Linked DNA regions of Saccharomyces cerevisiae S288C. Changing the gene in region 1 together with any one later gene gives a genetic interaction. Each region holds a gene or a part of one and is shown on either strand. Other genes may lie near its edges. The genes, in order: HFA1, CTP1 and ERG9.

Evidence for each region.
Region 2: mutations in HFA1 (region 1) and CTP1 together harm fitness more than expected from each alone (negative genetic interaction), as found in Saccharomyces cerevisiae (2 studies listed by BioGRID).
Region 3: of HFA1 (region 1) and ERG9, changing one enhances a phenotype caused by changing the other (phenotypic enhancement), as found in Saccharomyces cerevisiae (one study listed by BioGRID).

Annotation. Positions count from the first base shown.
Region 1 is NC_001145.3:677,021-688,234, reverse strand, and holds HFA1 (acetyl-CoA carboxylase HFA1), read left to right. Parts: upstream 1-4,670; coding exon 4,671-11,042; downstream 11,043-11,214. Other genes in the region: MGL2 (putative carboxylic ester hydrolase), read right to left, coding at 1-719; YMR209C (uncharacterized protein), read left to right, coding at 951-2,324; ERG12 (mevalonate kinase), read right to left, coding at 2,437-3,768. UniProt on the Saccharomyces cerevisiae protein: Catalyzes the rate-limiting reaction in the mitochondrial fatty acid synthesis (FAS) type II pathway. Responsible for the production of the mitochondrial malonyl-CoA, used for the biosynthesis of the cofactor lipoic acid.
Region 2 is NC_001134.8:780,913-787,289, reverse strand, and holds CTP1 (Ctp1p), read left to right. Parts: upstream 1-2,717; coding exon 2,718-3,617; downstream 3,618-6,377. Other genes in the region: VBA2 (Vba2p), read right to left, coding at 1-284; YBR292C (uncharacterized protein), read left to right, coding at 2,217-2,588; BSD2 (Bsd2p), read right to left, coding at 3,734-4,699; SNF5 (Snf5p), read right to left, coding at 4,906-6,377. UniProt on the Saccharomyces cerevisiae protein: Transport of citrate across inner mitochondrial membrane.
Region 3 is NC_001140.6:480,156-486,842, reverse strand, and holds ERG9 (bifunctional farnesyl-diphosphate farnesyltransferase/squalene synthase), read right to left. Parts: upstream 1,999-6,687; coding exon 664-1,998; downstream 1-663. Other genes in the region: LNP1 (Lnp1p), read right to left, coding at 1-17; CTF8 (Ctf8p), read left to right, coding at 212-613; PTH1 (aminoacyl-tRNA hydrolase), read right to left, coding at 2,243-2,815; GPI-anchor transamidase subunit GPI16, read left to right, coding at 3,006-4,838; Elongator subunit IKI1, read right to left, coding at 4,924-5,853; ubiquitin-binding TORC1 subunit KOG1, read left to right, coding at 6,171-6,687. UniProt on the Saccharomyces cerevisiae protein: Squalene synthase; part of the third module of ergosterol biosynthesis pathway that includes the late steps of the pathway. ERG9 produces squalene from 2 farnesyl pyrophosphate moieties.

The DNA.
Region 1 (11,214 bases):
TTTGTCATTATAGATGCGCCTAACGAAAATCCCATCATATAAAACTTTCTATTCGGAAATCTTTTCCTCAAGTCATTAACACAATATCTTATATCATTGGTCCAACCACCGTTGTATAATAGCGGCGTTGTAATTGCAGAATAACAACATCCTCTAGCATTAAACACGCATGCTTCAAAGTCATACTTCGTGGTGATTTCATGAACAATTGCCCTCACGTAGCTTTCCCTCGAACCCCCTGTTAATCCATGGAGAATAATAAGCATAGGCTTAGCATCGTCTGAGTTCAATTTAGGATCATCAGGGGAATAGTACGAATATCTTCGTTTCAAGTTTCCGTTAAATACCGGTTGACTTGTCGGCACGTATTCTTTTTCCACTTTTCTTCTTTTGGTACTTCTACCATTTACAGCAAAATCCACAGTCCCTTCTCCCCCATGTGGGTATTTGATTATCATTCTTTTATATTGAACTTTGTATATATTGTCAAAGTGTCTAAAGGAACCATATGCAGTTTGTAAATGGCCATTGACCAGTAAACCATATAAAGTGTCAGTAGCACCGTCAGCTAATTCAGGAACTTTAGTATCTATTAGCTCAGGGATGGTGATCTCTTTATTTTCATTCTCTCGTTTATCGGTGGACTTGAATGCAATAGGATCCTCAGGGACCTCTTGATGAACAATCAAAAAATTAGGTAACAATTCTTTTAGACGCATATCGTCTCTGGAAGTTTACCAGCGTTTGTATAATACAGTTTTAAAATAACAAAGTAGTTGGTTTTTATCGAACTTCAAATAATTGAGACCCTTTTAAGATCCACAATACTTTTCGGGGTTAGGTAAGAAGACCCGTAAAAAAAAAAAAACGTAAACGATGCTGTACAATTAACAAATTTTTCAGGAAATAGAAGAGGTAAAAATATTGATATACGAAGTTGAGGAGCGCCAATGGTTAGCTCACTGGCATCAAATATAATTCTAGCCCTTGTGGTAGTCCTGATGACACTGCTAAGGCAAAATAAGCCGTTGCAGAGGTGGTTTGTATCATATGTTGAAAAGCTATTATCAAGAAAATCAAATCTGGCCCAAAAAGTCAGCGTTTTATCGCCCTCCTTAAAATTGGTTGATGTTGAGAAATCAATATCTGCCGATCAATCGAATCTTTCTAAAATTAATTATCAGATTCCCACTCTTCCTGATCTTACGGGGAATTTAATCCGTTTACATGAGTATCGAGCAAGAGGAGAAGGCTATAATGGCCTTTTATTTCGGAGAGCAAGACAATTAAATGGAATTTCAGAAGATCAGTTGCAAAAATTAGGCTACTTCACCAAATTAATGAAAAATAATGAGGGTATCCGAGAAAACGCAAGAGTTATTGACAAGATAATTGAGTTCACTTTAGGGAAATTGATTCATTCCAACGAACACGATGAAGAATTTACAGAGGAAATTGAAAAGATATGCGCGGAACACGGCTATAAGATTAAAGATGGTCACCTTATTCAATTGAATCCTGACTTCGTATTTCCAATAGTTTCGTCTCGAGGCAGCCAAAGTGTGGTCCATGAAGCATTAGCACATTTGTGTCGTGATTTCAGCTCTTACTATAGTGTGGAAAGAGATCCTTTACAAAATTTTATCATTAGTAGAATCAACCATCATGTGATTAGTGCCGGGGACATGAAAGAGAAAATTCTTATCGTGACCCCAGGGGCTGGTGTGGGTGGCCTATCCCATACTCTTGCCACCACTTTCCCCAAAATACAGGTGGACTCCATCGAATTATCAGCCTTGATGTACATATGTAACCTATTTGCACTCGAATATAAGCATGACGTTAAGATACGTCCTTTTGTACAACAATATTCATGCCAGACAGTGTTTGATAATCAGTTGAGAAGTTTATCGGCAGATTTGAGCAAAGTTGGCCACCGCAGTAATCTGGACCCACTATGGGGGGACTTCACACGATATTCTCCCATTTCCAAAGACTATGATAAAATTATCATTTGTAGCGCATATTTCATAGATACCGCGGAAAATATGTTTGAATATCTATCCAGTATTGAAGCACTAAAGAAATACTGTAAAGAGCTGCATTGGGTCAATGTAGGTCCATTAAAGTATGGCACCAAACCCTTGGTCCAATTTACAGGAGATGAATTAAGTCGGCTGCGTAAAATTCGCGGGTGGAAGGACCTTGTGGAGGAATATGAAGTTGATAGCTCAAAGGGATTGAATGGCTATTTAACTGATTATGAGTCAATGTATCAAGGATACTATGGTCTGCTTAAATTTCATTCTGTCTTCGAAAGCTGAATTGATACTACGAAAAATTTTTTTTTGTTTCTCTTTCTATCTTTATTACATAAAACTTCATACACAGTTAAGATTAAAAACAACTAATAAATAATGCCTATCGCAAATTAGCTTATGAAGTCCATGGTAAATTCGTGTTTCCTGGCAATAATAGATCGTCAATTTGTTGCTTTGTGGTAGTTTTATTTTCAAATAATTGGAATACTAGGGATTTGATTTTAAGATCTTTATTCAAATTTTTTGCGCTTAACAAACAGCAGCCAGTCCCACCCAAGTCTGTTTCAAATGTCTCGTAACTAAAATCATCTTGCAATTTCTTTTTGAAGCTGTCAATTTGCTCTTGAGTAATGTCTCTTCGTAACAAAGTCAAAGAGCAACCGCCGCCACCAGCACCGGTAAGTTTTGTGGAGCCAATTCTCAAATCATCGCTCAGATTTTTAATAAGTTCTAATCCAGGATGAGAAACACCGATTGAGACAAGCAGTCCATGATTTATTCTTATCAATTCCAATAGTTGTTCATACAGTTCATTATTAGTTTCTACAGCCTCGTCATCGGTGCCTTTACATTTACTTAACTTAGTCATGATCTCTAAGCCTTGTAGGGCACATTCACCCATGGCATCTAGAATTGGCTTCATAACTTCAGGAAATTTCTCGGTGACCAACACACGAACGCGAGCAACAAGATCTTTTGTAGACCTTGGAATTCTAGTATAGGTTAGGATCATTGGAATGGCTGGGAAATCATCTAAGAACTTAAAATTGTTTGTGTTTATTGTTCCATTATGTGAGTCTTTTTCAAATAGCAGGGCATTACCATAAGTGGCCACAGCGTTATCTATTCCTGAAGGGGTACCGTGAATACACTTTTCACCTATGAAGGCCCATTGATTCACTATATGCTTATCGTTTTCTGACAGCTTTTCCAAGTCATTAGATCCTATTAACCCCCCCAAGTAGGCCATAGCTAAGGCCAGTGATACAGAAATAGAGGCGCTTGAGCCCAACCCAGCACCGATGGGTAAAGTAGACTTTAAAGAAAACTTAATATTCTTGGCATGGGGGCATAGGCAAACAAACATATACAGGAAACAAAACGCTGCATGGTAGTGGAAGGATTCGGATAGTTGAGCTAACAACGGATCCAAAAGACTAACGAGTTCCTGAGACAAGCCATCGGTGGCTTGTTGAGCCTTGGCCAATTTTTGGGAGTTTACTTGATCCTCGGTGATGGCATTGAAATCATTGATGGACCACTTATGATTAAAGCTAATGTCCGGGAAGTCCAATTCAATAGTATCTGGTGCAGATGACTCGCTTATTAGCAGGTAGGTTCTCAACGCAGACACACTAGCAGCGACGGCAGGCTTGTTGTACACAGCAGAGTGTTCACCAAAAATAATAACCTTTCCCGGTGCAGAAGTTAAGAACGGTAATGACATATTGACAGTTTTCTATACGTAGATATAAATTTGCAAGTTAGGACTAAGAAGCGCACCAGCTAACCAGGAAGTAATATCATGGCTAACTAACCTTTATAGGCATATCGTTGTATCGTTCTTCGATACCCTGTCGAAGATTTCAGTGCGACAGCCAAACGAGGCCCGAAAATTGTCAGTACAATTACAACCGATAAAATACACGTTGAGACAAAACTAGCACAAAACGCCTCTTTAAACATAAATGTGTACGCATTCTGAAAGTGAGATAGAGTACAAGGCTATCGCTAGCTTTCCACGGGAGAAGTAGTAGGAACCTCTCTTTTTATTGCTTATGACAGTAATAATAGCATCATTCATCAATGTTTCCGTTAGGGTAACTAAAATGGGTGGGCGGCAGATGACAAGAAAAGATGAATAATGAAGAATGATAAAGAAGAAGTCATCTTGGGTAGAAAGGGAAGACAATTACACACGGCCAAAGCTGGGGGGCTCGCCGGATACATTCTCACTTTTACATTACCATATTCACAATTACTTGCATTCGAATAGGACAGTACAAGCTCGCGTTATATTTGGATCCTTATCGATTCTATAATATAACGGGCAGCCAGATAGTACGGTTGAAAGGACAGCGCCCTGAATACAGAAAACGCATTTTTGCCCATTCGTATAGGCATTCATCTCGAATAGGTTTGAATTTTCCATCTAGAAGAAGGTATTCCAATTATGTGGATCGAGGCAATATTCATAAACATACTCGATTACCGCCCCAGTTCATAGGGCTAAATACTGTGGAAAGTGCCCAACCTTCAATATTAAGAGATTTTGTTGATTTACGTGGTGGACATACTGTTATTTCAAAGATCTTAATAGCAAACAATGGTATTGCTGCGGTGAAAGAAATGAGATCTATAAGAAAATGGGCGTACGAGACGTTCAATGATGAAAAAATCATTCAATTCGTGGTAATGGCGACACCTGATGATTTACACGCAAATTCGGAGTATATTAGAATGGCAGACCAATATGTGCAGGTACCAGGGGGTACCAACAACAACAATTACGCCAACATAGACTTAATACTGGACGTGGCAGAGCAAACGGATGTGGATGCGGTCTGGGCTGGATGGGGCCATGCTTCTGAAAATCCGTGTCTTCCTGAGCTGTTAGCTAGTTCACAAAGGAAAATACTATTCATTGGTCCTCCTGGACGCGCTATGAGATCATTGGGTGACAAGATTTCTTCCACTATTGTAGCACAAAGCGCTAAAATCCCGTGTATCCCTTGGTCTGGTTCACATATAGACACTATCCATATCGATAACAAGACGAACTTTGTATCTGTGCCGGATGATGTATATGTAAGGGGATGTTGTTCCTCACCTGAAGATGCTTTAGAAAAGGCTAAATTAATAGGATTTCCTGTAATGATTAAGGCATCCGAAGGTGGTGGAGGTAAGGGCATTAGGCGAGTAGATAATGAGGATGATTTTATTGCATTATATCGCCAAGCAGTGAATGAGACACCTGGGTCGCCTATGTTTGTTATGAAAGTTGTCACTGATGCTCGTCACTTAGAGGTACAGTTATTAGCTGACCAATATGGCACTAACATTACATTGTTTGGGAGAGACTGTTCCATACAAAGGCGGCACCAAAAGATTATAGAAGAGGCACCAGTGACAATAACCAAGCCTGAAACGTTTCAAAGGATGGAACGCGCAGCAATTCGTCTAGGTGAATTGGTAGGTTATGTTTCTGCGGGCACTGTCGAATACTTATATTCACCAAAAGATGATAAATTTTACTTTTTAGAACTGAATCCGAGACTACAAGTAGAGCATCCAACGACAGAAATGATATCTGGCGTAAACCTTCCTGCCACTCAACTGCAAATCGCCATGGGCATTCCTATGCACATGATAAGTGATATCAGAAAACTTTATGGTTTAGATCCAACGGGAACTTCGTATATTGATTTTAAAAATTTAAAGAGACCCTCGCCAAAAGGCCATTGTATTTCATGCAGGATCACTTCAGAAGATCCTAATGAAGGTTTCAAGCCCTCCACTGGGAAAATACATGAGCTCAATTTTCGTTCTTCTTCCAATGTTTGGGGTTACTTCTCAGTAGGAAATAATGGTGCTATTCACTCATTTTCAGATTCCCAATTTGGGCACATTTTTGCTGTAGGAAACGATAGGCAAGATGCAAAGCAAAACATGGTTTTAGCTCTAAAAGATTTTTCCATCCGAGGAGAATTCAAAACCCCCATAGAGTACCTGATAGAGCTATTAGAAACTCGGGACTTTGAGAGTAATAACATATCGACTGGTTGGTTAGATGATTTGATTTTGAAAAATTTATCTTCCGATAGCAAACTAGATCCAACGCTCGCTATTATCTGTGGTGCCGCAATGAAAGCATACGTTTTCACAGAAAAGGTGAGGAATAAGTATTTGGAATTATTGCGGAGGGGCCAAGTTCCACCTAAAGATTTTCTTAAAACGAAGTTTCCTGTTGACTTCATTTTCGATAATAATAGATACTTGTTCAATGTTGCTCAATCATCTGAAGAACAATTTATTCTTTCTATCAATAAGTCTCAATGTGAAGTTAATGTTCAAAAATTGTCCAGTGACTGCTTGTTGATCTCCGTTGACGGTAAATGCCATACAGTTTATTGGAAGGACGATATCAGAGGTACAAGACTTTCGATAGACTCCAATACCATATTTTTAGAAGCTGAACTCAATCCCACTCAAGTGATCTCTCCAACTCCGGGGAAATTGGTGAAATATTTGGTCCGAAGTGGTGATCACGTTTTTGCTGGACAGCAATATGCAGAAATAGAAATAATGAAAATGCAGATGCCACTAGTAGCGAAAAGTGATGGTGTAATTGAGTTACTAAGACAGCCCGGTTCCATAATTGAGGCTGGTGATGTCATCGCAAAATTGACTTTGGATTCGCCGTCCAAAGCTAACGAATCGTCTTTATACCGCGGAGAATTACCTGTTTTAGGTCCACCGCTAATAGAGGGTAGCCGACCAAACCATAAGCTCAGAGTCTTAATAAATAGGTTAGAAAATATTCTCAATGGATATCATGAAAACTCTGGAATAGAAACTACTCTAAAAGAGTTGATAAAAATATTGAGAGATGGTAGGCTTCCTTATTCAGAATGGGATTCCCAAATTTCTACGGTACGCAATAGACTACCAAGGCAATTGAATGAGGGGCTGGGAAATCTAGTCAAGAAATCTGTTTCTTTTCCTGCAAAGGAACTGCACAAATTAATGAAGCGCTACTTGGAAGAAAATACAAATGATCATGTAGTTTATGTTGCCTTACAGCCACTTCTTAAAATTAGTGAAAGGTATAGCGAAGGTTTAGCTAATCACGAATGTGAAATTTTTTTAAAGTTGATTAAAAAGTACTATGCTGTTGAGAAAATTTTTGAAAATCATGATATACATGAAGAAAGAAACTTACTAAATCTGCGGAGGAAAGACCTTACAAACTTGAAAAAAATTTTGTGCATAAGTTTATCGCATGCTAACGTAGTCGCAAAGAACAAGTTAGTAACTGCAATATTGCATGAATACGAGCCATTGTGCCAGGATTCCTCTAAGATGTCTTTAAAATTCAGGGCTGTTATACATGATTTGGCAAGTTTGGAATCTAAGTGGGCTAAAGAGGTTGCTGTAAAGGCAAGATCAGTGCTACTCAGAGGGATTTTCCCTCCCATAAAGAAAAGAAAAGAGCATATTAAAACTCTCCTGCAATTGCACATAAAGGATACTGGTGCCGAAAACATTCACAGCAGGAACATATATTCCTGTATGAGGGATTTTGGTAATTTAATACATTCAAATCTGATACAACTTCAGGATTTGTTCTTTTTTTTTGGCCATCAAGATACGGCTCTTTCCAGTATAGCATCTGAAATTTATGCAAGGTATGCCTACGGCAATTATCAATTAAAAAGTATTAAGATTCATAAAGGAGCGCCTGATTTACTAATGTCATGGCAATTCAGCTCATTAAGAAATTATTTAGTCAATTCTGATGGTGAGAGTGATGAGTTTACAAAACTTTCTAAACCTCCCTCAACATCAGGTAAGAGCTCAGCAAATAGTTTTGGTCTTCTTGTCAACATGCGTGCGCTTGAATCTCTGGAAAAGACATTAGACGAGGTATACGAACAAATTCATATTCCTGAGGAAAGACTTTCCAGCGGAGAGAACTCTCTTATTGTTAATATTTTATCTCCTATTCGTTACAGAAGTGAAAATGATCTAATTAAAACTTTAAAAATTAAACTTCATGAAAATGAGAGAGGTCTATCCAAGCTCAAGGTTAATCGTATTACATTTGCATTTATCGCCGCGAATGCGCCCGCTGTTAAATTTTACTCCTTTGATGGAACTACGTACGATGAAATCTCTCAAATAAGAAATATGGATCCATCCTATGAAGCACCGTTAGAGTTAGGAAAAATGTCGAACTATAAAATCAGATCACTACCTACATACGATAGTAGTATACGCATTTTTGAAGGTATTAGCAAATTTACGCCGCTAGATAAAAGGTTCTTTGTCAGGAAAATCATAAATTCCTTCATGTATAATGATCAAAAAACAACCGAAGAAAACTTGAAAGCGGAAATCAATGCTCAAGTGGTTTATATGTTAGAACATCTAGGAGCAGTTGACATCTCAAATTCAGACTTGAATCATATTTTTTTAAGTTTCAATACAGTTCTTAACATACCAGTACATCGTCTCGAGGAAATTGTGAGTACAATTCTAAAGACTCACGAAACCAGATTGTTTCAAGAAAGAATCACAGATGTAGAAATTTGCATCTCTGTTGAGTGCCTAGAAACAAAGAAGCCAGCCCCGCTTAGATTACTTATTTCTAATAAATCTGGGTATGTGGTAAAAATTGAGACATATTACGAAAAGATAGGGAAAAATGGGAATCTGATTTTGGAACCGTGTAGTGAGCAGAGCCATTATAGCCAGAAATCTCTCTCTCTTCCTTACTCGGTCAAGGATTGGCTACAACCTAAAAGGTACAAAGCTCAATTCATGGGTACAACATATGTGTACGATTTCCCAGGTCTGTTTCATCAAGCTGCAATCCAACAGTGGAAAAGGTATTTTCCAAAACATAAGCTGAATGACAGTTTTTTTAGTTGGGTTGAATTGATAGAACAAAACGGTAATTTAATAAAAGTAAACAGGGAGCCAGGCCTTAATAATATAGGGATGGTTGCTTTTGAGATTATGGTTCAGACACCTGAATATCCTGAAGGGCGTAACATGATCGTGATTTCTAATGATATTACCTACAATATTGGATCTTTTGGACCGAGAGAAGATTTGTTTTTTGATAGGGTCACAAATTATGCAAGAGAGAGAGGGATCCCGAGGATATACTTGGCGGCGAATTCAGGAGCTAAATTGGGTATAGCCGAAGAGCTGATCCCTCTATTTCGTGTAGCATGGAATGACCCCTCTGATCCAACAAAGGGTTTCCAGTACTTATACTTAGCTCCAAAAGACATGCAGCTACTGAAAGATTCTGGGAAAGGAAATTCGGTTGTTGTTGAACACAAGATGGTATACGGTGAAGAGAGATATATTATTAAAGCAATAGTCGGATTCGAAGAGGGTTTAGGTGTTGAATGTTTACAGGGCTCGGGTTTAATTGCTGGTGCCACTTCGAAAGCGTATAGAGACATTTTCACTATTACTGCTGTTACTTGTCGGTCCGTTGGTATAGGTTCCTATCTGGTCAGACTAGGACAACGTACTATTCAGGTGGAGGATAAGCCTATCATACTGACGGGTGCATCGGCGATTAATAAAGTTTTGGGTACCGATATCTATACATCTAACCTACAAATTGGCGGAACCCAAATCATGTATAAAAACGGAATAGCGCATTTAACAGCCAGTAATGATATGAAAGCCATCGAAAAAATAATGACATGGTTATCATATGTCCCGGCGAAAAGAGATATGAGTCCTCCACTTCTTGAAACTATGGATAGATGGGATAGGGATGTAGACTTCAAACCTGCCAAGCAAGTGCCATATGAGGCAAGGTGGTTGATAGAGGGTAAATGGGACTCAAATAACAACTTCCAGTCAGGCCTATTTGATAAGGATTCGTTTTTTGAGACATTATCTGGATGGGCCAAAGGTGTAATAGTTGGAAGAGCACGTCTTGGAGGTATTCCCGTGGGTGTTATTGCGGTAGAAACTAAGACTATCGAAGAAATAATCCCCGCTGACCCAGCTAATCTGGATTCTTCAGAGTTTTCCGTTAAAGAAGCAGGACAGGTGTGGTATCCAAATTCCGCGTTCAAAACAGCTCAAACTATAAATGATTTTAACTATGGTGAGCAATTACCATTGATTATCTTAGCCAATTGGAGGGGATTTTCTGGCGGTCAAAGGGATATGTACAATGAAGTACTAAAGTACGGGTCTTTTATTGTTGACGCTCTGGTTGACTACAAACAACCCATACTGATATACATTCCGCCCTTTGGTGAATTAAGGGGCGGATCATGGGTTGTTATAGATCCAACTATTAATCCTGAACAAATGGAAATGTATGCCGATGTTGAATCTAGGGGAGGTGTGTTAGAACCTGACGGAGTAGTTAGCATAAAATACCGTAAGGAGAAAATGATAGAGACGATGATTCGATTAGACTCCACATATGGACATTTGAGAAGAACGTTGACAGAAAAAAAGTTATCTTTGGAAAAACAAAATGATCTTACGAAGAGATTGAAAATAAGAGAGAGACAGTTGATACCAATTTACAATCAAATCAGCATACAGTTTGCAGATTTACATGATAGATCGACTAGGATGCTAGTTAAAGGAGTAATCCGAAATGAGTTGGAATGGAAAAAGTCACGCAGATTTTTATATTGGAGACTGAGAAGGAGGTTGAACGAGGGACAAGTGATCAAAAGACTGCAAAAAAAAACATGTGATAACAAAACGAAAATGAAGTACGACGACCTGTTGAAAATAGTTCAGTCATGGTATAACGATCTGGATGTTAATGATGACAGAGCAGTAGTGGAGTTCATAGAAAGAAATTCGAAAAAAATTGACAAGAACATTGAAGAGTTTGAGATCTCGCTGTTGATCGATGAGCTTAAGAAAAAATTTGAAGACAGAAGGGGAAACATTGTCCTTGAAGAGCTAACTAGGTTGGTGGACAGTAAGCGAAAGAGATAGTTTCGGTATAGGAACAAGTAAGTTAAATAGCCGCTTAGATACCATAATGGTGGCCGAAAAGAGAAAATCTGACATTCTCTTAAGTGTATGTATATAAATGAAAAATAACGTGAGATTTAAAAAAAAAAATGCAACAATATCATTTTGATAAATAAAAACATAACTTATATCA
Region 2 (6,377 bases), on another chromosome or scaffold:
AACGCTTGAAAAATTCCTCTTTTCGAACTTGGAATAACGTCTGAATTTACGATTGTAGAAAGTGTGATCAAGCCACCACCTCCTATGCCTGTCAATGCTCTCATAAAACTAAGCATGTAGATGTTTTTCGAGAAACCACAGGCTAGACATCCAATGGTAAAAGCCCCATTAGCAAAGAAAAGGCAGTTTCTTCGACCAAGTGCATCAGAAAATGACCCATAAAGAGGTTGAAAAGATGTTGATGTAATTAAATACGCAGTGGTGATCCAATTTGAAATACTCATCTGATTAAATTCGTTACCAATCGTTTGGTACGTCGAAGCTGTAACGGTTCCGTCAAAACCGGACAAAAAGACATTAGAAAAAAGAGTAGCTTCAATAATCCATCAATTTGGGATTCTTGAAAGCGCTATATCTTCGCCTTTGTCCAAGTCCTCATCTAAGTCTTCACTGTAGTCGACAGAAGGAATTTCAGTCTCTTCAATACTGCCATAGTTTCCATCCTTGCTTTTCGGTAGTACTTTGTGTTTACTAGATTTAAGCATTGCGAAAAAAAATCTGATTTGGAATTAATGTTTCATTTACTACATTTTAAAGCATTTTGTACCATTCAGAGGCAAGAATTGGCCAATACTGTGTGTTCTTATAACGATAACTAGTATATATATTCTCGAAATTGTATATTTCTGTGGATTTGCACACAATCATCTAATAGCAAATTAGGAAGAAAGCCACACATGCACATATATCGCATCACTTACCGAGCCTTAGAATGTGGTTGCCACACATTAGGACATGTTACCCCCCGCACCTAGCAGAAATATAGTATTAATCTATCAGTGCTCAACACAATGTGATATCAGTACAATTCTTCATGCCATGGTACGTCGTCTCTATTTTCTTTTATATTCTGTTTATTATATCATGTTCTAAAAATGTCATATATACAATTCTGAAAAGGTTTTTGACCCTTACGTAACGCTATTCGGTCAACTACTTGTGAGACATATATTGTTCAAATATGTAAATGAAGAAAAGTACGCCTATTACTAGGATCCACAATACCGTAAAGCCTGTTAAACAAGGAGGAACAATATATATATCATAATTTTTTTAGAAAGAAAAGCCAAAGAAACAGCATTTGCAGGCACAAATCCGTGATAATAATGCATAGAACAATATGTGAAACCCCACAAGGTTACTGGTCGGATGATGAGCGAGCCCAGAGAAACCAACAGACCTCTGTAAACATCACTATGCCTTATCACCACACTTTACCATAATGCATTGAAAGTGCAATTGGAGAAGCCACCAATAGACGAGCTATGATGATATATTTAGCGTCCCTTAAAATATCGACTTATACAGTGGATAACATTTCCGCTCGCATTCCTCGAAGAGCATTATTTCCAAACTACTGTTGAAAAAAAAAAAATACGAAGACGACGCTTACCTGAGCACCCAGGATGTACACTTCGCCACAAATTTTGAGAGGCCTTTTGTTGTGATATTAGTTGAAATATATAACCACTTAATCAGGCAAAAAGACAGCAGTCACTATTTCAAGTTGGTAAAAAAATCCTGTTTTCGCTAATTGTCGATTTGGCCTTTCACCTGGACTTGAAAGCTTCAATTACGGCCTGATACATTCATTCTTTATACTGACCTTTGCCCAATTTATTATCCAGAACTATAGCCATTAGGTTGCAGGCCACTGGGACCACCACTGACTGGAAAATATTCTATTGACGAATTTTCCGCAACTCATCGCTGATTAGTTTATGAACTTATCCCGTCGGAATGAGAAAGTTACATATGCAGGAATTCTCTACAAGCAGCAATAACATGCTTTTATTTTACTGTCGTATTGTAATTGCTTATTCGGTTCCAAACATGTCAGCTATGCCAATATTTTAGAAGAGTGGGAAAAAAAAGAGATGTTATAGACGAACGACAAAAGTTGTGAAAAACTCGAATGGAGTAATGGAGCAAGAAACAAGAATCTGTCATAGTCAATACGTGATTTTGATATGCTTTCAAGCTTCTGAGAACTTCATTCATTACACTCCACCACATATACTATACAACGAATAGCCCAGTCGAAGAGGTTATGATTGTGTTCATTTATTTTTTTACATGACAGAGTCTCCCTATTGATACTAAGCTTGCTGCAATAACTCTTCTTACTAAGAGGTAACTTACATCTTGACTTTTTAATGAAGTTCCCAGCCGATTACCATTATACGTCGCCGTTTCGTTCATGTAAATATTCAAATATACTACACTTTATATCTTTGCTTCTTATATTTTCGCGCGTAGGTTTGCCTAATTACATTTTTATATTCCTCATCAATAAAGCCGCCAACAAAGAGCACAGGGTAGAAACTCTGCTGTCTGGGAACTCGGCTAACGCTTGTAAGCTATTTAATATTCTCAAATCATTTCAACACCTCTTTTTTTTTTTTCAAATATGTACTATTTTCTCTATTTCCATTAAGTTAGTCTTACTGAAGAGTCAAGAATATGGAAGAATTCCTGCGGAATTTTCAATTATTAGAAGTGAAAAAAAAAAAAAAGAAGAACAATGAAATTTAGTCTCACTTTAGCGTGATATATAAAACGTAAAATGTCGAAGCCAACGTAAAATTAAAAACATTTTGATGTCACAATGAAAGAACTCCAAAGTAGAGCTTGAATTATAAATTAGCATTTTACCGATGTCCAGTAAAGCTACCAAAAGTGACGTAGATCCATTGCACTCGTTTCTGGCAGGGTCCCTAGCCGGTGCTGCTGAAGCATGTATAACATATCCTTTTGAGTTTGCCAAAACAAGGCTGCAGCTGATTGATAAGGCCTCCAAGGCATCAAGAAATCCTCTGGTATTGATATATAAAACTGCAAAAACTCAGGGCATTGGTTCCATTTATGTCGGATGTCCCGCATTTATTATTGGAAACACCGCTAAGGCGGGTATTAGATTTCTTGGCTTTGATACCATTAAAGACATGCTAAGAGATAGTGAAACTGGAGAACTAAGTGGTACAAGAGGGGTGATAGCTGGGTTAGGTGCGGGACTATTAGAAAGTGTTGCCGCAGTGACTCCTTTTGAAGCAATCAAAACTGCTTTGATCGATGATAAACAATCTGCTACACCAAAATACCATAATAATGGGCGCGGTGTAGTACGAAACTATTCATCATTAGTCCGTGATAAAGGATTTTCTGGTCTTTATCGTGGTGTTTTGCCAGTTTCCATGAGACAGGCCGCAAACCAAGCCGTTAGATTGGGTTGTTACAATAAGATTAAGACCTTGATCCAAGATTATACGGATTCGCCAAAAGACAAACCTTTATCATCCGGGTTAACCTTCTTAGTGGGTGCATTTAGTGGTATTGTGACGGTCTATTCCACCATGCCCCTTGATACTGTGAAAACAAGAATGCAAAGTTTGGATTCCACCAAATACTCCTCTACAATGAATTGTTTTGCAACCATTTTCAAAGAAGAAGGGTTAAAGACGTTTTGGAAAGGTGCTACGCCTAGACTTGGGAGATTGGTCTTGAGTGGTGGTATTGTTTTCACTATCTATGAAAAGGTCTTAGTTATGCTAGCCTGAAATGTATTATTGTGTACAATATATCATCTAATGTTTTCTACTCGTTATAAGTCTATTTACCAGCCGATCACTTAAAAAAGTTATATATCTCTTTTTATCATAATGAAGAAGATGGCTTATGCTTGATTTTGACTTTGGTTGAGGTATTTCTTTTCCAATTTTTTGACTTGAATGTAGTCGTATATACTCTTCAGGGTGATAAATAGCCCAAGAAATGCCACAAAAACAGCCAACCATGGTATGTTTTGTTTTTCTTCATCCAGACCGTGATTCAAATGTGATTCAAATTTATCTTGTGTCGTTGATTGTGAATTTAGACGAACATCATCGAATTCATTTGGATCCTCTAATTCCATTCTATTTAAGCTTTTATTTTTGCCGACTTTTGAAGTAACATCATTGGGAATCATTGAATAACCATATCCAATGAACGTTAACCCTAATCCAAACCTTGAACCTTGCTTTGCTGCGTGAGATGTGTGTAAAATGTAGGTTATTAAAAATCCAATGAACTGAAAACTCGTGCTTACGATGATATTCCATAATAAATTTGCTATATTTCCTACAGGAAGCCCCTCAATGCATATTTCGTCGTAGTAGATATCTGAATTGTTCAAATCCATTCCATAATACGAGGGGGCCATATCAGCAGCAGCTTCGTCGTATGTAGGTGGTATGTCTTGTTCGTTATTACCTTCAGTCTCTGTGGTATCTGGTTTTGCGCTTAAATTGCTAAAGACACCATCAAACATGGCACCTTGTTGTATATCCGAAGACTGTTGTGTACGTTTCTTAAAAAGTCTATCAAGAATATTAAAATGTCTTCCTATTTTTCCTATATGTCTGGCTGCTTGTTCCCTCAGCTGGTGTGGTACTAGTCTTTCTGTCGTACTATTTCCTCCACTGCTGCTTCCCTCGTCCTCTATGCTATCTTCCTCGTCAGACCCTATTTCCGTTTCCCCTTCTACGCCAGTTTGTGTGTCTCTAGTTCGTCCTGCGTTTCCGACATTTATGCCATCAGTAGATGAACCTGCATGAAGTGTATTCATTTCTTGCCCTATAAGTAGTTCTTGCTCTGGCATAGCGCTTAGTTTCCTAGACTACGTGTTCTTGTTATTCTCATGCTCTTTTTATGTATCTAAATTGGAAGATTTTTATAAAGGTTATGTACTATTCTTCTAAAAAAAGTAGGCGCAAAGGGACTCCGCATCGTATAACACGATGATAATACAAATTCTTCCACGGTTATTTACATCTCCGGTATATTTTATATATGTGTATATATTTTCTATGTATTCTGTGTGTTATTGTTACTGCTACCATTATTGCTATTAGTCAACAATGTCGCTTCGCTATCATGTGGTGCTACTGGAGGTGCTATAGGAAGACTAGGTGTAGGTACCGATTTACTAGCTGCCCCACCTGGGATTACTGGCTGCAGTGTGGGATTGGGTGAATTAGTAACAGTGTGATTGGCAATCGGGTTTGGGATTGAAGGTATCGTCACACCAGCGCGAATGTTACTATTCAGCTTAGTTTTCAGCGATTCTGGACTCGGAAGCATTGCATTGGTGCCACTACTTGTGTCATTGGGCGCTGCTGCGAACTCTTCTTTTGTATTAACTTTCCCAGGCAGTTTAATAGAAAGTAGTAGCGAATGACCCGGAATATGGTCAATAATATAACAAGGAGGTGAAACTGGCTTAGGTCTATCTGGCCTGCTTTTATAAGTGGTTGTGTTTCTCAATTCGTACGATTCCACAGAAGGGCCTACGTCAACACCACCAGGCATTAAAGTGCTAGGTACTGGAGTCCTGAAAGTTCTTGGAATATCTGCAATATCTGGCAGTAAAATCTCTCCTGGTGGCAACGATGAAGCATTTCCTGCTGCTACTGTGTTGTGAACGCCGTTCATAGATGTATTACTTGCAGATGTGCCGGACAATGCGAGCATACCACGTCTATTAGATCTACCTTGTCTTCTTTTCCTTCTTGTGTCTCTGTCCTTATCTTTATCCAATCTCTCTAACTCTGCAGCTGAAATCTGTAATAGGTTTGGAGTAAAAATTTTGCTTTCCGCTGCAGGCCTATAAACATCATCAAGAGTAATCGTTGGGAGCATTCTGCTTCTAATGTCATCATCTTCTATCGCTGATCCATCAAAATTGTAACCTAACAGTGCCAGTGATTTATGATACATATGAACTTGCTCTCTTATGGAGTGAGCAATGGCAGTCACAAACTCACCTGGTAGTTCTAATTCTTGACACATGGACTCTGCAAACTCTTCTGGACAGTTATCACTATTAGAGATGTCCCACTCAAATTGATCGATTAACTGGTTTTGTCCCACGACAATATCCAGCTTGATTCTAATTCTCAAGTCATCACCGCCTAGACGGTCCTGATTCAACTCTATATATGGATTTCCTTGAAACTCCTGAATCTGCTCTTGTATAGATTGACAAATAGTATCAATGTGTTGCTCTCTCGTAGCGTCCTCAAATCGGTAATCTCGCAACATGTCGTCCACAAAGTCTTCAATTTTAATAAGCTTGTCATTTTTGTTCCATAACAAAGTGTCCCTGAGGAAGAATCTGTCACGATCTTGATCGAACTCCAATCTTATGGGAACTAACTGTTCCGATGTCTCATTCATGGCCTGTTTATAGACTTTTAATTTATCCTCTAGGTAATGCTTCCTATTTCCAACTTCTACTTGTGGAATAACTCTGGTAGTTGTATTCGTAATCCCATTAC
Region 3 (6,687 bases), on another chromosome or scaffold:
CCTAATGCACTAAACATATTTATGTTATTCTTTTATATCCGATCTCCTCTTTGTATGATTTTTGTTTTCTTAAAATATACATGTCAACGTTAGCATCTTGAATTTCATTTTTCCTTTAATCTTTTTTAGTAAGCTAACCACTAATATAGCCAAAGGAGTGATAGAAAAAAGAATTATCACTATCATTCAGCCCAATAAACAGCTGAAAAGAATGCCTAGTGTAGATATAGATGCTAGTCAATGGCAGAAGTTGACACAGTCAAGAGAAAAGCAGACCACGGTGATAACACCGCTTGGGATGATGATGCTGGAGATTCAAGGTGAACTAGAGTTGCCTAAGGACTTTGCGTCGCTGGCGAGGAGAGATTCTCCAAATGAGGGAAGGTTCAGTGAACAGGACGGCGAAACTTTAATACGATTTGGGTCGTTACAGATTGACGGAGAGAGGGCCACATTGTTTGTCGGCAAGAAACAGCGTTTACTGGGGAAGGTGACAAAGCTAGACGTACCGATGGGTATAATGCATTTCAATTCGAAAGATAATAAGGTCGAATTAGTTGATGTAATGAAATATAAGGTTATCTTTAAGGATAGGCCTCTACCTATTATGTAAGTACTTAGTTATTGTTCGGAGTTGTTTGTTTATGTTATTTGGCGCAGACTTCACGCTCTGTGTAAAGTGTATATATAATAAAACCCAAGAAGAACGGACAAGATGATAGATAAAACCATATTGAACTTGTACTCTTCTTCTTGTTGGGTTGGAACCAATTCATCATCGTATCTGGATCTTTCTTTAACTTTCAAGAAAATTGGAGTTTCATTTGGCTTCACGTTAGGAGGTAATTTATCCTGGTACATTTCTTCCATAAACTGTTCGATCTTGGAGATTTGAATGTTCAATTTTAAGAAATTTGGATCTTGCACAGCCAATTTAGATTTGATATCACGTAAGTAATAGTCAAAAATCTCGACACAGCCACGCAAAGTCCTTGATTTCAAAATTAAATAGCAGGTAGTACCCTTACGAATCTTTACATTGCCATGTAGCACTTCACGGTTGTTGAATACCAAAGCCAAGGTTGCAATGGCCATAACTTGGGGAATGGCACAAAATTGGAAAGTGGATTGCTCGTGGATACCGGCCAAATAAGTCAACACATCGATAACATGACTCAATGCGTTTAAGACGAGGTGGTTTATACAGTCCAACCCCAGTTGTTCGTTTTCAGGTTTCATGAAGTCCTTCAACTGAGGAGCGTATTGTGACCAGATTTCCTTGGGCCAGAAGGATCTACCATCGACCAAATCTTCATTGTAATCTCTGATGATGTTGGTTTTTTGTAGGAAAAGACCCATGCTTTCATACAATTGCTCATTAGAATACAAAGATTCGTTGGCAAACTTGGCAATGACAATCAAACGGGTCAAACCATCACCGACCAAACCAGCTACGTAGTGACAGTACACGTCGTAGTCGTGGACGGTTTGCAACCCATTCAAGTTGTAATTTTCATCTAAGATGTAGTCGGCCATACCATTACCCATTTTCTCGGTGATCTCCTTGATGACTTCTTGATATTCTGGTTTCAATTTGTGGAATTCAATAAGAATCGATTCGAAATCTGTCAAAACGGCTCTGTCCTTCACATCGGGGGCATTTCCGTCGAAACTCCATTTAGTTAACAACAATTTCTCGTGGAAGTGACGCAACAAGTCAATTTTCAAATCGTGTTCGATGGACATATCGTCTTCGATGGTATCCAAAGCCCTTAAAATCAAATAAAAGAGAGTAACACAGTTTCTCAATTCTGGATGCAGCTCTCTGATCACAGCAGCAAACGATCTGGAGGTCAAGTTCAACAGTTCGAAACAGTGCAAGAGATATGGAGACGTGGACTGATCATAGATGGAGAATAGCGGTGTTCTGCAAAACTTCAGCTTCAAAGCTGCCTTCATCTCGACCGGATGCAATGCCAATTGTAATAGCTTTCCCATTGTGTGTGTGTGATATGTGACGTGTATACGTTTTCCGCTTCTGCTCTTCGTCTTTTCTCTTCTTCTGTGCTCTTATTCTTTGCCCCTGTCCTAACTTTCCATTTATATAGCCCGTGGTCGTGTTCTCGCTGCTCGTTTAGGCACTAAACCCAAAACCGATAACGCCTTCCGATGCAAAGTGCAGTGGAAAAGAAAAAGGGCAAAGCAAATAGGATGGTAAGTCGGTATTGTTGTTGAAGATGGGCTATGAAATGTACTGAGTCAGAGCACGCCAGGCAGCAGGTTCACTCTGTGTAAGCAAGGTTTGTAGTTCCTGCGGAGTTAGAGCTCCCAGAACCCACCGGGACACGCTCGCAGGGTCTCTAGAACGGGACCCAGGTTCTCTGCCGATTCCAATAGCCAATTTGGCAAAGGGTACACGGCCTCCACTGCATTTTAGCAGGCTTCGCAGCCCATTATGACCTCTAATACTGGTGCTGGGGGCTCTGAGCTGCACTTTTCCACACGCCACACTTAACTCGTCATGAATAACTACGTGTCGGGCTTGGTACTTGGCGTACCGGGCCCAGACCTTGCACACCTGTTCTCCACTTAGATTCATGTACTGGCCATCCGATCTTAGTATCGTACAATGTTCGTCTTCTATATAATGCACTTTGCCGCCCGTATTAGGCACAGGGGAATAAGTTCTCCCCTGCAGACCAAGCCGCTTTCGTAGCAGCTCCAGCATATATAGCCCTACATTGTGACGGGTACCAGCGTACTGAGGCTCTGGATTGCCTATCCCGGTCAGCACTAGTCTCCATTTACCGGACATCTTCCTTATCTGCCTAGAGTCGACTTGTTCCTACCTACTATTTTGCATATTATAGGAATAGTTCGAGATTATTTGAAACCGCCGGACCTTTTTGCGCTGGGCGATCTTTTACACGTAGTTTTAGTAGCCAATAAGTAAAAGGAGAGCGGAAACAAGTGTTCAAAGCAAACAAAGCATAGGCAAGACGACGATGATCCTCACACTGGCCTATTTCATGCTGGGCACTCTACTACTGGGTGTGTTCGCAGAAGACACGGTGTCGCAGATTGGTATAAATGACAGTTTATGGTATCCGTACGACGAAGCACTGGTGTTGAAGCCGCTGCCCAACAATGATCTGCTACTCTCATTTGCATTCCAACTGCAATCGGAACCGTTTGACCCGGCCGTATCATCCATGTCATATGATGCGTATGAGCACTACACGACTTTCCCACGGGCCATCCCACCATTGTTGGAATCTACTGCCACGCGTCAGTTTCATTTAAGATTTACCAGAGGATTCTGGGATGCCCTGTCGTGGGGACAGTTGCCACATGCTGGAAAAGAGGCAGGTGCCTCAGGTGTGGAATTGTGGTCGCAAGTGCAGGCCATGGATCAGGAACAGGCGTTCCATAATTGGAAAAAACTGTCCAATTCATTGAGCGGATTGTTTTGTTCTTCTTTAAATTTTATCGACGAGTCAAGGACGACCTTTCCCCGGCGGTCATATGCTTCTGATATAGGAGCTCCTCTTTTCAATAGCACCGAGAAACTGTACCTGATGCGAGCATCGTTGCCCAATGAACCCATCTGTACCGAGAACTTGACGCCGTTCATAAAACTATTGCCTACTAGGGGCAAATCCGGTTTGACATCTCTCTTGGATGGTCATAAATTGTTCGACTCTCTATGGAATAGTATTTCCTTGGATATTGCCACTATTTGTTCTGAAGATGAAGATGCTCTTTGTCACTACGAGATGGACGCACGCATAGAAATGGTAACACACGTTCCCTCCGCCTTGGCAAGAGGTGAGAGACCTATCCCCAAACCTTTGGATGGGAACACATTGCGTTGTGACACGGATAAACCCTTTGATTCTTACCAATGCTTCCCTCTACCGGAACCTTCGCAGACTCACTTCAAGCTGTCTCAGCTGTTTGCCAGACCAATAAACAATGGCAACCTGTTTGCTAATAGGCCCACAAGAATTTGTGCAGAAGTTGACCGTTCTACCTGGACTGCGTTTTTGTCAGTTGACGATACTATTTTCAGCACACATGATAATTGCTTTGACTTATCAAACGATCAAAATGAGGGTGGTTCGGGCTACGACTTTATTTTAGAATCGACGGACACTACTAAAGTTACTCCCATAGTTCCTGTCCCAATTCACGTAAGCAGATCTCTGACTGGTAATGGACAAGATCGTGGTGGAATGCGTATTGTTTTCCATAACGACAATGATACCCCTGTGAAGTTGATTTATTTCGAATCATTGCCATGGTTCATGAGAGTTTACCTATCCTCTCTTCAAATTACTTCTACTACCTCTCCGCAATTGCAAGAAAACGATATCATCTTAGATAAATACTATTTACAAGCGGCCGATAGAAAAAGACCTGGCCACTTGGAGTTCACGATGTTAATTCCAGCTAATACGGACATTGTAATGACTTATCAATTCGATAAAGCTCTTCTGCAATTTGCCGAGTATCCACCAGATGCAAACCATGGTTTTGAAATCGATGCAGCTGTAATCACCGTGCTATCTTTGGAGTCCTCATCGTCTCTTTATGAAATGAGAACCTCTACCCTATTGTTATCCCTGTCTACACCGGATTTTAGTATGCCGTATAACGTCATCATTCTAACATCTACAATCATGGGACTCATATTCGGTATGCTATACAATTTGATGGTGAAGAGAATGGTCACCGTCGAAGAGGCCGATAAGATTACGTTGCAATCTGGCTTAAAATACAAATTGCTAAAGCTAAAGGAAAAGTTCCTAGGGAAAAAAAAGACTAAAACAGACTAACAATCTAGCATCTAGATATGTGTATGAAGTATACGTAGTTTACATAATCTGGAAGCACTCACTATTTACCATCAGTTTCTACTTTTTAAAAGGGATCCTCATATGGATCCTCTTCATCATAATCGTCATCCTTTTCGTACTCATAAACAATAGCACCCCCTTGTCCAAAGCTTTGTGCCTCCAGAAAAGGCAATGCGACTTGATCTTTGGCCAGCTTCTGTTTGTTGGATGTTCCTAGGTTGAATGTTGTTAATCCTTGCAACATTTCGGGTGTCTCCAGTCCGTTACTACTGCTCTCCTCTTCTTGCTTAGTGGTTGATAATAATTCATATTCGTGGGTGTTTGAATTTACTATGAAGTCGTATTCCAATGACCTGCCGGACTTTCTTTTATTAACAAGTCGTAATTGAAATATATCGTTATTTAACCCGCGAGGAATTCTAAATTCGTTTAACAATTCACTCACCTCCTCAGTATCGAGAGTGCCTGTTAATACCACATCAATATCTACTATTGTAGTGGCCATAAACTGCAGTAAAGTCAACTTATCAGGATAATTGTTATTCCAATCAGGTATTACCGTACGGTTCTCATCTTTGATGTCTTTATGATAAGTCGCAACCATCGTGCAGTGAGGAGAGGCGATCTCAGACAAAAACCTTGTTATGTATTCTGTAGAAATATAGTTCAATGAATCGATAATGACCATGTGCTTTTTTGCCTGTGTGGCAGTAGCAGCCGGTAGATATGATATAATTTGTTTCACTAAATGTACAAAATCCATCTGCGTAGCGTCAATAAATTGAGTACAGTACGATGGTTTATTCACTGTTTCGAACGAAATGTACACAATTGGATACTCATTTCCTTTACTCTTGCTCTGGTGGACGAATTCTTGGATGAGCTTGTATGAGGTCTGGGCAATAGAATCTAAGCACAAAATGAAAGGGGAGCTTTCTGTGAGCGATAAGATTCTTTTCAAAAGAATGACAGGGTTATGTGACGAACTGGCCATTATATCTTGTTCTACCTGTAGCAATAGCTTGGGTTGGAGCTATTAAAAAGCTCTTAAGTTATCATTCTCCAGAGGTTATAATGGCATCGCTTCTTATATTTGGATTTTTCAAGGTGACCCGCACTATGAGATGATAATCAAGGCAGCATTAATAGTATCAAAAATACTTTAATAAATCATCAATAGGTAGTACTTTACATAAGTATATAGAGGATTTTAAAACTTGTAAAGTTATTTTCGAATGCATTTGGTTTGTAGATTCCTTTGATTACATTTAGCGAATCCTATTGCATGCAGAGAAGGGTAAAAGATACATAATGCCGGAGATTTATGGACCTCAGCCATTAAAGCCACTCAATACGGTGATGAGACATGGGTTTGAAGAGCAATACCAAAGTGACCAACTTTTACAATCACTCGCGAATGATTTCATATTCTACTTTGATGATAAACGACACAAAACTAATGGAAATCCGATTCCTGAAGAGGATAAACAACGAGATGTAAATCGTTATTACCAGCCGATTACCGATTGGAAGATTATGAAAGATCGACAGAAGACAGTAAGTGCGGCCCTTTTATTATGCTTGAATTTAGGTGTCGATCCCCCTGATGTTATGAAGACACATCCCTGTGCCAGAGTTGAAGCATGGGTAGACCCATTGAATTTCCAGGACTCGAAGAAAGCAATAGAACAAATTGGTAAAAACTTACAAGCACAGTACGAAACTCTGTCTTTGAGAACACGCTATAAACAAAGCTTGGATCCTTGTGTAGAGGATGTCAAACGGTTTTGCAACTCGCTAAGAAGAACTTCTAAGGAAGATAGGATAC